3 linked regions of the Kluyveromyces lactis genome follow. The protein of the gene in region 1 binds, or shares a complex with, the protein of each later gene. Links are inferred from orthologs where the notes say so. Each region holds a gene or a part of one and is shown in the gene's direction. Other genes may lie near its edges.

Region 1 (4,375 bases):
TCTCTAGAGTTAATTTGTAGTTTATATTAGCGATATCCATGGAGCTCTCGTACACAACAATGAAACCAGCATTGTTCAGGGTAGGACATTTAGGAGATAAACCATACAAAATATGCTTTGTATAGTGATAATTTAGAGCAAAGAAGTCTATCGGAAATGAACAGTTCATCTGTATGGATGTCTTTGGGATAACTCTCTGAAACCAAACATCTAGTTGATTAAGGATAGCTATCCTCCAATCTTCTAAATCTAAAAACTCATCAGGAATGGTTGCGTTAGGAGCATACATTCTTTGCACAATTTCTGATTGTATTTTTCTTATTTGGAACATCGATAGACATACAGATTTGTAAGTTGGGTCAGAGTTAACTAGTGACGGGGACGAATAATCTCTGACATTATCTTCTGCAGTGGTAATCAACGCATCATCTAGGGAGCTTGGAAACATAGTTGTCACATTTACATCAGGAATGCTGACAGGTCTTCCAAAATATGCACATACCTGCCTATCCATTGAGTAACAACACCAGAAAAGCCGCCTACGAACATCTCTTATAAAAGGTTCATAGTTTTTGTTGAGTTTTTCAGCGTGTAGACCCAGATCCACACATAATCTAATAGCAGATCCAAGAGTGTACCACAACCCAGGAACCGTAGGTCTCATCAAAGAATATACAGCAATCAACAAGAGTCCTTGCAAAGCTTCGAGCCGATTAGTTTTTGACGTGTAAAGACTGTCTTGATATTGATCAGCACAAAATTTGAACAACCGGTGATCAAATCCGGTATTAATCAAAATTTTTGTAGAAAGCCCAATTGCAAATACAATGTTCAAAAAGAAAAACGGCTGATGGTATTCAACAGGAATCTTGTCTGCATCAGGATTTTCTTCGAGGTATGAAACCAACGTTTGTTTGAATTCTACTGGATTGAACGCCTCAGGAATTTGAAATATATCATTAATCTTTGTGTGGTCAGAAGCCCAAGATACATGAGGCGAAAGTGAGCCATAAATGGGCTTGAAATACTTCTGTAAAAATAGTTCCCGATGTAAGATTGGAAGTTGAGAATTCGAAGCGGTAAAATAGTCTGATATCATTGCTTCAGCTTGAGATTTTGACGGTATTTTAAGAGATTGTTTTTTTGTAAACCTTGGTATCTTATGAGCGGTACCACCTGCACTGTTTTTTTCATCTTTCGGTAGTACATCAGGTCTGAACTTAACAGCTGTGAACATCATTTTGGCGAACGAGATGCCACTCGAATCACCAAGATAAGATGCAGAGGGTTCCTCCATATCAGCTTCGTGTTCTATCTTTTGCTTGACTATGCCAACCTTGGAAAATTGATTGCTGGCATCTTTCAAATCTCGGGCGTTATCTACTATTCCATTCAACATCGAAGTACCTTTATTGATTATAAAGCCTGCCATCTCATTGCCATTGGGCAACTTATGCTTACCTCTTAACCTTTCCCTTTCCTCAAACAGGCCAATGTCGCATGCTTTATCATCACTAGTGGCTGGAATATTGCCGTTTGCGTGCTCTGGATCGATGCCATTCTTCTCAAGCAATTCTTCCAAAGCCAGAACTTTATCCTCTAAATATACAACATAAGAACGTGGAATTTCTCTTCGCGTACTGGGATCAATAGTTATGCATGGTTCCTGTGCCTGAATGCACTTCGTACATGATGGGAACTTATTGTCACACTTTATCTTTCTAATTCTACACCTTTTGCACGCTGCAACTGATCTGTAAATATTTCCGGAAGATTCCTTCGTAACTTTATTTGCCATTTCAAATTGAGGACTTTACGCTAACAACATCAAGAGAACACCTAACAAACACAAACTATCAATCAAAAGGATCGTGGAGTCTTATTCCAAGTATCTTGGTCTACTGTACTTCTTGGTTCGGTTTATTGTGCCTGGAAGTTCAAAAGACATTAATGAATCCTTTCTTGATTCATGTTTAATAATATTTTGTAAAATGTGAAAGTCTACATAAGAACAGATCGGTGTAATTTCGAGTAAACACAACTCTCCAAGCTTGTAAGGAGTGTACAAAGAAACGGGACATCTTCAATGAGTGTTCCAGTGATACCATACCTTGACTATGATATAGTAGATCTCGGTTCTGACATTAAAAAACCAGATTTTCCGCAATTGAGTGAATCTCATCGCATTAATGAACAACAGTACTATATCACTGAGGACACGCCATTGAATAAGAGAAACTTCATGTATCAGCCTTGTGCTGCAAATCTAATGTTGGATAAGCTCAAGTATTGTGGCACAGACTATTTTGATAAAAGCTCTATCAATTTGATGGATAGATCCGACAAATTAGCATTTTCATTGGACGACCATTCGGTGAGTGTCAGCGAGAACTGCGGGTGGAGGAGCGTTAGAAGCGACGTTTGTATGAAAGAAGGAAAAATATACTGGGAAGTGGAGGTGAAAAACGTTTCTGATACATCACACATCAGATGCGGGATAAGCAGAAGAGAGGCATCAACAGAAACTCCAGTCGGATGTGATTTTTACGGTTATAGCATTAGAGATAAAGGATTGCAAGTTATTCACGAAGGCCGCTTGCATACAGTTTTGAAACCACACGAGATGCAAGCAGGTGATAGAATCGGATTTCTACTGACTTTACCTTCCCTGCAGTCTCAAAGCGAGCAAGCCATGGATTATAGTTTAAAACGAATCCAAGAGCTAAACAACGACGACAGCCGCACCAACAAAAGGAATAAGAAATTCAATAAGGAATTCTACAAGTTTTTACTGCGTTCATGCGAGCCAACGAATGTAGTTAGAGATCAAATTGCCATCAGATATAAAAATCAATTGTTTTACGAAAGTACCGATTATGTCAAAACTACAAAACCGGAATATTATGACAACAGGGACGACATGCAAAAGTTTTACGAACTTGAAAACTCGAGCTTCGAAGTTTTCGTAAATGGTGTTTCCCATGGAATAGCTTTCGAAGGCCTTACACCATTCTTACCTCCGTTCAGCGAATTGCAGTACAATGAGAAGTTTTATTTGCATCATTGGAATAAACGTAATGTCACGAAGGGGATCGAAATAAGAAATAAATACGTAAACAACAACAGGCTAGGTTATTATGCCACTTTGAGTTCATTCCAGGGAGGCACTGCATCGATCATAACAGAAGCCATGGAACTCAAGTTTCTACCGAAAGATGTAGATATCAAAACTCTGAATGATATCTACAATGAGCAGATCGCAAGTGATATTGTATGGGACTTAATAGACGAAATTGATACATAAAATAGAAAAAGAATCTTTCTAAATACTCATTTATAGAGAACGTAACCGTAAATTAACATTATAGTTCTCCAAAGCTTAGCACTCCAATGTGTTGGACCAACTAGCACCGTGAAAACATTTCGACCGAATAGTTCATGGTTATAAAGAACTTAAACTATCCTTATACCTTATATTGAGTTGTTACCTTAAAAATAAAAAAAAATAGTTGGAAACACAGTAAACCAGAAGAACTTCATATGATAGAAAAGGGATCACTAAATAGAAGGTAAAACACTGTACAAGAAGCCGTCATATACTGACGCCAGCAATACGAATAATATCTCATGCAATATGAGTGAATCAGGAACTTTGACAAATAAAGAATCAGATACTAAAATATTAAGTGTGCTGGTGTCTGATCCTCAGAAACAGAAAACGCATTCGCAGACATATATCACCTATCAAGTATCCACGAAAATAGATGGCAAAGATGAACCGAATTGTGTGGTGAGGAGGTACAATGATTTTGTACTCCTACATCAAATATTGATAAACGATCATCCTGCACTGCTTGTTCCTCCATTACCCGATAAGAAAGTCCTAAATTATCTTTCAGGGGATAGATTCTCACATTCTTTTACTCAGAAACGTTGTCGTTCTCTTCAAACGTTCATGCGCAGGTTGTTGAGTCACTCAGAGCTTTCCAAATCCAGGATTTTGGAAACGTTTTTGACCAGCACAGATTGGGATGTTTATAGAAGGAGTTTGACGGGGCAAATTTCCACTTCTGAAGTTAGTGATGTTTTGATAAACGCTTTCAAACACGTAAACAGACAAAGGGATGAGTTTGTCGAGATTAAGGAAAAGAGCGAAAAGTTAGACCATAATTTGAGCCATTTGGACAAGCTATTCCATAAATCTGTGAAAAGAGTTGATCTGATCGGACAGAATTTGAAGAAATTACAATCCTCTTTATCAGGATTACAAGAACTTTGCTGCGATGAAAAGGAGCTATCAAACAGTATCAAAGCCTTTAACGATGGAACGATGCAATTGATAGATTCATTAAATGATTTGAACAAATACGTTGAC
Region 2 (3,106 bases), on another chromosome or scaffold:
TAACTTGTATCAATTAATTGTGAATCCTCAACAAACGTACCTCTCGTTCTGTCGAGCATAGATCCTTGTTCGTGAACTTCCGCATACTCGTTATCGTAATCATAACTTTGATCGTACTCTTCTTCAGATTGTTCACCAACTTGTGCTGTCAGCAGTACCGATTGTTCTGTATGTTGATGATTATGATTTGACACAATAAATGAAGAGGAAGTTTGGTAGGCATTAAGTATTGGTTCTTGCCCTGAATTGTGTTCATTTTGTTGCTTGTTCTGTTTACTTCCCTTCTCCTTTTCGATCTCTTTTAGGGTTTTATCAATGCCAATAGGTCGCAAACTTGAGTAGCCAAGAGATCTTATCAGCAATAGTGTCGATTTATCTAGAATGTTAATGGTATTGGAATCAGACACATCTCCGTCATTATTGGCAATTAAAGGTTTCTCACTATGGCAAGTATACGCCGCAAGAGGAATCAATCTCTTCCCAGGCTTGATCCGTCTCTTGGTATCTTTATCAATGTTCCAACTCACCGGTTTCCCTTTTCTGCTTGTCTTGCTTTGCAGAAGCTCTTTTCGTAGATTGTTTATCAAAGGAATGTTATTGAAATCGGATGGTGCAGAAGGTTGTCTGAAGGCATCAAGGCCATACATAAACTCTCCAAGCCCCATATCTTACTTGTAAAGCCTACTGTCTCCAAAAATATTTTGTGAACAGCCTCTTAATGTCTGTTATTGCCATTGACACAGTGGTGTTTAACAGGACACAAGTAAATCATGATTTAAAGGTTTTATTTTAAAAGAAATAGAAAAAGCATCAACAAAAATAAGGAGAGCTGTACTACTCACCAATTACCAGTAGTTAAACGCCGGCGTCTTGATGGCATTCACTCCAGTTATCTTATATTTGATATGAATTGATAGAAGACACTAAAAAGAACTGAATATTATATATTAGTATGTATGTTTGAATAAACGTTATTGGTGTAACTACAGGTTACGCTTTCTTTCCATATGATCCAAGAACTTGTCAAAAGGAGTCTGTTTCCTAAAATAAGCACTTCTTTCAGCCATGTTAGCCAACTTATCGAATAAGTATTCTCCCCAGTCAAGATACCGTTTAATATAATTCTTCAAGTCAGACATTTCATAAGCGACAACATAATTGTTACTTCTACGCAATCCAGCCAATACCATAGACAACAACGCTAAGTCAATACTGTAATGAACTATATCTTTAACCTGATTGGAATTTGATAAATGCAGTTAAGATTACCTTTTAGTTAGTAAATCAAAGTCCGTTGATGAAAACGGTGGTGTATCTAACCACCTTCTTCAAAAAAATGAACGGTACGTACACCCATGATTCTTATTACAAATCTCAAATATGTCAGTTCTTTATAAAGCCAGAGTAAGACCAGAAAGGCTCTATTTCTCTACCTGCAAGTGACTAACACTATTGATTTCTTTGACAGATGTCATTACAATTTCGAGGAACATTTAAATTTAAATAAAACTGTTAACACCATCAAGAAATATTACCAATTTGGAGACAAAAAGAGAAGCTCAACGGGACACCAGCGGTTTAGCAACAGTTCTGTGATTATCTAAAAGTTAGCTGAGAAAGGAAATATGACTGTTAGCATTTCCAAGAGCAATCTTCTACGATTTGAGCCTGTGAAGTCCTTCAGAGTTTCTGATAAAGAATTGGGACCTATAACTTCAGTGACATTTGATGACCATGGCCAGTACTTGTTGACTGCAACTGCTAGTGATAATATGCATCTATATGATGCAGTAAGTTGCAGGTTTTTGAATACCATCGCTTCTAAAAAATACGGATGTCATTCCGCAAAGTTTACACATGCGCAATCAGAATGTATCTATTCATCCACTATGAAATCGTTTGACATAAGGCATTTGAATCTTGAAACAAACACATACCTTAGATATTTCCAGGGCCATGGTGCTCTAGTGAGCGATATACAAATGTCCCCGTTGGATGATACTTTTTTGTCTGCATCGTATGACGAATCGGTAAGACTTTGGGATTTGAGAAGCTCCAAGGCACAGGCCCTTATACCAAGTTTAGTCCCCACATGCATTGCTTACGATCCAAGCGGGCTTGTGTTCGCCATTGGTAACCCTGAGAACCATGAAGTCGGTTTATATAACGTAAAACATTTGAAGGCGGGCCCATTTTTAGTTATAAATGTGGATCCAAGCTTTGATCAGTGGAATAAATTGGAGTTTTCAAACGATGGTAAATATTTGTTGCTTGCGTCGTCCGCTGGAAAACATTTGATCATGGATTCCTTCGATGGTACACAGTTATTTGAATTATCAGGAACTAAACCTTTCCCATTGAGAGAGTTCATGGATTCTGGATCCGCAACGTTCACTCCAGATGGACGCATTACATTGGGAACTGATTACACTGGGAAGATCGCGATATGGAACCACGCAGACTTCATCAGTGGTAGGACGCTCAAACCTCAAGGATTTATTAACGCCGCACCAAATACATGTCCCAGAACTATTGCATTCAATCCTAAATATAGCATGTTTGTCACTGCAGATGAAACTGTAGATTTCTACGTATATAACGAATGAATTATACTGGGATCTGGATATATGACTTCGAAGCCAGACTCTACCCAGAGCACCCATCTATTTAGGAATGGCACTCGACATCTCGATAACATTTCCATGTTACCGATGACACAAAGCTGCCTTTTAGGTCTGGTCATCGCGACATTTAATCTTCTTTCATCTTTCAAGAACCCAACCTCGAAATTCTCGTTACTTCTTACTAAAGATAGGATGATGCACTCCTTTTCTCTACCTTGAAATCCGTCTACGGTAGATATCTCAATTGCTTGATGCTTTTCATGGATGAGTTTTTTCAACAGCGATACTTGTGAATTATACGGGGAGATCACACCAATACTTTCTTCCGTAACACCAGCCTTTATCAACTGCTCAACGTGGTATAATGCCAAATATGCTTCATTTTCGTTGTATTTTGAAGAGACTAGGTGGAACTTATCGTCTGCATCGTTGTCATTTTCATCAGACCTTTCTGGAAAGTCGTCTCCCTCAGTATCTAACCA
Region 3 (2,826 bases), on another chromosome or scaffold:
CACAATAAATAAAACTAGGTACAGGAAGACCAAAACAAGCGCCATGGTGAATAAAATTAACGATGAACGGTGTATCACTGGCAGGAAGTAAAGCATACATTTTCATGATAATGACAATGTTCTTAGGATTGGTCTATAATATTTGTCCATTCCGAATACGATCTCTGATCCCAATCTGCTTATTCCAATATATCCGGTACAAATAAGCAGCAATATGAAGTTCATTATTCTTTTACGAGTCTTTAGACTACGGACATGCATATATTGAACGGTTCCAGCGATAATATGATACGATCCTAAACCAATAAGAGCAACCAAGGGGCCATATCCGAGACCTATCCTCACCAAAGCACCTCTGTCTTTATCTAGTAGCCATTTGACAAAATCAAAGTCTATATCAACTTTCGCCGTATTTGGCAGCCATTTCATGAGGGCACCATGAAAGAATAATACTGGAGTTAACAACCATCCTGTAAGCTCTTGTGGATTATATTGAAGGTTTCTCTTGATCCCAATAAAGTACCCACTTAAACCACCTACAAGACCAATTCTAGATTGTGCAAGTGACTGAGTATCCAGCAAGGATTCGGCATTATGTGTTTTCGAAGAAGTAGGCAGCTTCCTCATTATTCTCAAGGCAAATCCGGATAATATATGTATTGATATCCCAGTCCAAATCAACTTAGATCCAAGTCCAGATGTGAGTTCTCTAACCATCATTAAAGCATCGTTTGGAAAAGAGGAGGGCTCAAGAGCAGGAATTATTAGGGCATTGATACCGTGTAACGGAAAGTACGTTACTAGAGGGAATAAAGACCATTTTTGCGTCCACCTTAGCCATTTCTTAATATTCAACACTAAATTGACGCTGGCATCCTCGGGGGTTTTTGCTAAATCGGGGTCGATGTGTTTGGTCGGAATGGGCTTCAACGGTGTCAATTTCGCAGCAGTCATGAAGTTTATCAATTATAAGTCAGCGAATCACGCACTTGTTCATATACTCAAAGGGCAAGTGATATTTCTGAGAATCTTGGTATATCTGTTTCTTAATTTGATGTTGGCTTATTCATTACATTCCATCTTTACACATTGCATCAGAAAAGGAATATTAAAATGTAAAAACCATTACACGAATCGATGAAGGTAAAATAAACAGAGAAATAACACAAATATGGCCTGTGAAGGGTACATGAATGGTTGCATTTGAATATTACAAAGAATATACTTCATTTTTTCTGCCTAGATATTTATCATCATAAGATAACTCCAGTATAGGATTGAATTTACAGTATTCACGATGTCATTACCTAGTTGGTGCCCCAGGTATGACAGCAGGAAACACGACCCAAAAACTGGGGAAGAAGTTTATTGTATATGTAAGAAACCAGACACTGGGGAGTTGATGGTAGGATGTGATGGATGTGATGATTGGTTTCATTTTTCCTGTTTAAAGATCCCCGAGAAATATAGAGATCTCGTTTTTTCATTCTACTGTTCGTATTGTAGTGCTGGAATTACAGGACCGGCATTGATAAATGGCGGCAAACTACCGAAAACTCTTTGGAAGAGGAAATGCAGGCTCCCTGAATGCTATACAGAGTGTGATGCCAATTCAAGAAGCAAATATTGTTCAAAGAAACATGCTGTTCAATACGTTCAAAGCATTGTTGATAAGTTAAATCTACCTGGCGTAGATAAGATTGCATTGTTGAGACAGCTTCTAAACGAGACAACATCATTGGAGGAATTTAAAACGCTAGGACGAGACAAGCTTCCAGAAGTCACGTCACCTTTATCCAAAGATCAATATTCCAAGTTGCTAGAAAATGATCAGCATTTAAACAAATTAATTAACGAACACGATGAGTTGGTTTCGGTCAAGCTTTCAAAACTAAATGAAGAAGATGCAGTAATAGAGAAATACGTCAACTGGATCGGTGAAGTTAACGAGAGATTATCCCCACATTTCAATCAGCCTACAGGTCGAAAGAAGTCGAAAAGTGCAAGTAAAGTTACAATATGCGGCTACCATAATGAGTTCACGATCCCTCGGTCAGTTGAGGAGTTTTTAGATAAGCTACTTCAGTTGAAAGAAGACGAAAACAGTAATATCACATCAGTTGACGGTGTTTGTGTAAAGACAAAATGTGCTAAGCATCAGGATTGGATTACATTGTCCCAAAACGATCTCTCGGAACAGAAGGACTCTCTAGAAAACGTCAAAAGAAGACTCGATTTACTAATTAGCGTCAGAACGAACCAATTGAGAATCTCATTCTTCGAACAAGAGATGTCCAATCGCGTCCTACCCGGTGTTAAGACCTAGCTCATATCTAATGTGTCACTTTTCTGTCATTACAATGAAGGCGAAACGCTTATATTTAACTTGTAGCATCAACTAGCAAGAAAAGCATGTATAAATAATTTAACCTAATACAAACATCAGGTTTTTCATATGCTTCTAGTCCAATAATTGAACGTATATAAGCTTTATCCTATCGTAAACCTAATTCATCTAATCGTCACATAGTTAAAGTCACTTACCATGTTATTCATTCTATGAGAAAACAATATAAAAATGAAAAACCAATGAGCTCAATATCACCATTAAGGTCTGGTTGTTTTACGAAATATAAAGGGGCAGGACAAAAGATAGCAGACATACCTTATAATTGTATCTCCTATTAGGAACCTCTATTCTCTCGCTGTAAGTTTCAAAGATATTGGTTTTGTGGTAAGCGTTTGGAGGAAGCTTTTAAACACATAAACTTACAAACAAAATATGGCAACAGATATCAGAACAAACAAGGTTAAGAACGAAGAGTT

The links. The genes of interacting proteins can lie anywhere in the genome.
Region 2: BRE2 (region 1) and SWD2 share a complex: the UniProt entries of both Saccharomyces cerevisiae proteins name them as parts of the set1C/COMPASS complex. The link is inferred for Kluyveromyces lactis from reciprocal best matches to the Saccharomyces cerevisiae genes BRE2 and SWD2.
Region 3: BRE2 (region 1) and SPP1 share a complex: the UniProt entries of both Saccharomyces cerevisiae proteins name them as parts of the set1C/COMPASS complex. The link is inferred for Kluyveromyces lactis from reciprocal best matches to the Saccharomyces cerevisiae genes BRE2 and SPP1.

Annotation. Positions count from the first base shown.
Region 1 is NC_006039.1:939,678-944,052, forward strand, and holds BRE2 (Bre2p), read left to right. Parts: upstream 1-2,086; coding exon 2,087-3,304; downstream 3,305-4,375. Other genes in the region: KLLA0_C10923g (uncharacterized protein), read right to left, coding at 1-1,798; SNX4 (Snx4p), read left to right, coding at 3,635-4,375. UniProt on the Saccharomyces cerevisiae protein: Component of the Set1C/COMPASS complex that specifically mono-, di- and trimethylates histone H3 to form H3K4me1/2/3, which subsequently plays a role in telomere length maintenance and transcription elongation regulation.
Region 2 is NC_006041.1:1,606,746-1,609,851, forward strand, and holds SWD2 (WD-repeat containing protein SWD2), read left to right. Parts: upstream 1-1,625; coding exon 1,626-2,606; downstream 2,607-3,106. Other genes in the region: MND2 (Mnd2p), read right to left, coding at 1-665; MCO12 (Mco12p), read right to left, coding at 984-1,235, 1,352-1,357; ATP-dependent 5'-3' DNA helicase HCS1, read right to left, coding at 2,588-3,106. UniProt on the Saccharomyces cerevisiae protein: The COMPASS (Set1C) complex specifically mono-, di- and trimethylates histone H3 to form H3K4me1/2/3, which subsequently plays a role in telomere length maintenance and transcription elongation regulation. Involved in mediating RNA polymerase II termination.
Region 3 is NC_006040.1:618,333-621,158, forward strand, and holds SPP1 (Spp1p), read left to right. Parts: upstream 1-1,297; coding exon 1,298-2,326; downstream 2,327-2,826. Other genes in the region: MCP1 (Mcp1p), read right to left, coding at 103-954; KLLA0_D07282g (uncharacterized protein), read left to right, coding at 2,783-2,826. UniProt on the Saccharomyces cerevisiae protein: Component of the Set1C/COMPASS complex that specifically mono-, di- and trimethylates histone H3 to form H3K4me1/2/3, which subsequently plays a role in telomere length maintenance and transcription elongation regulation.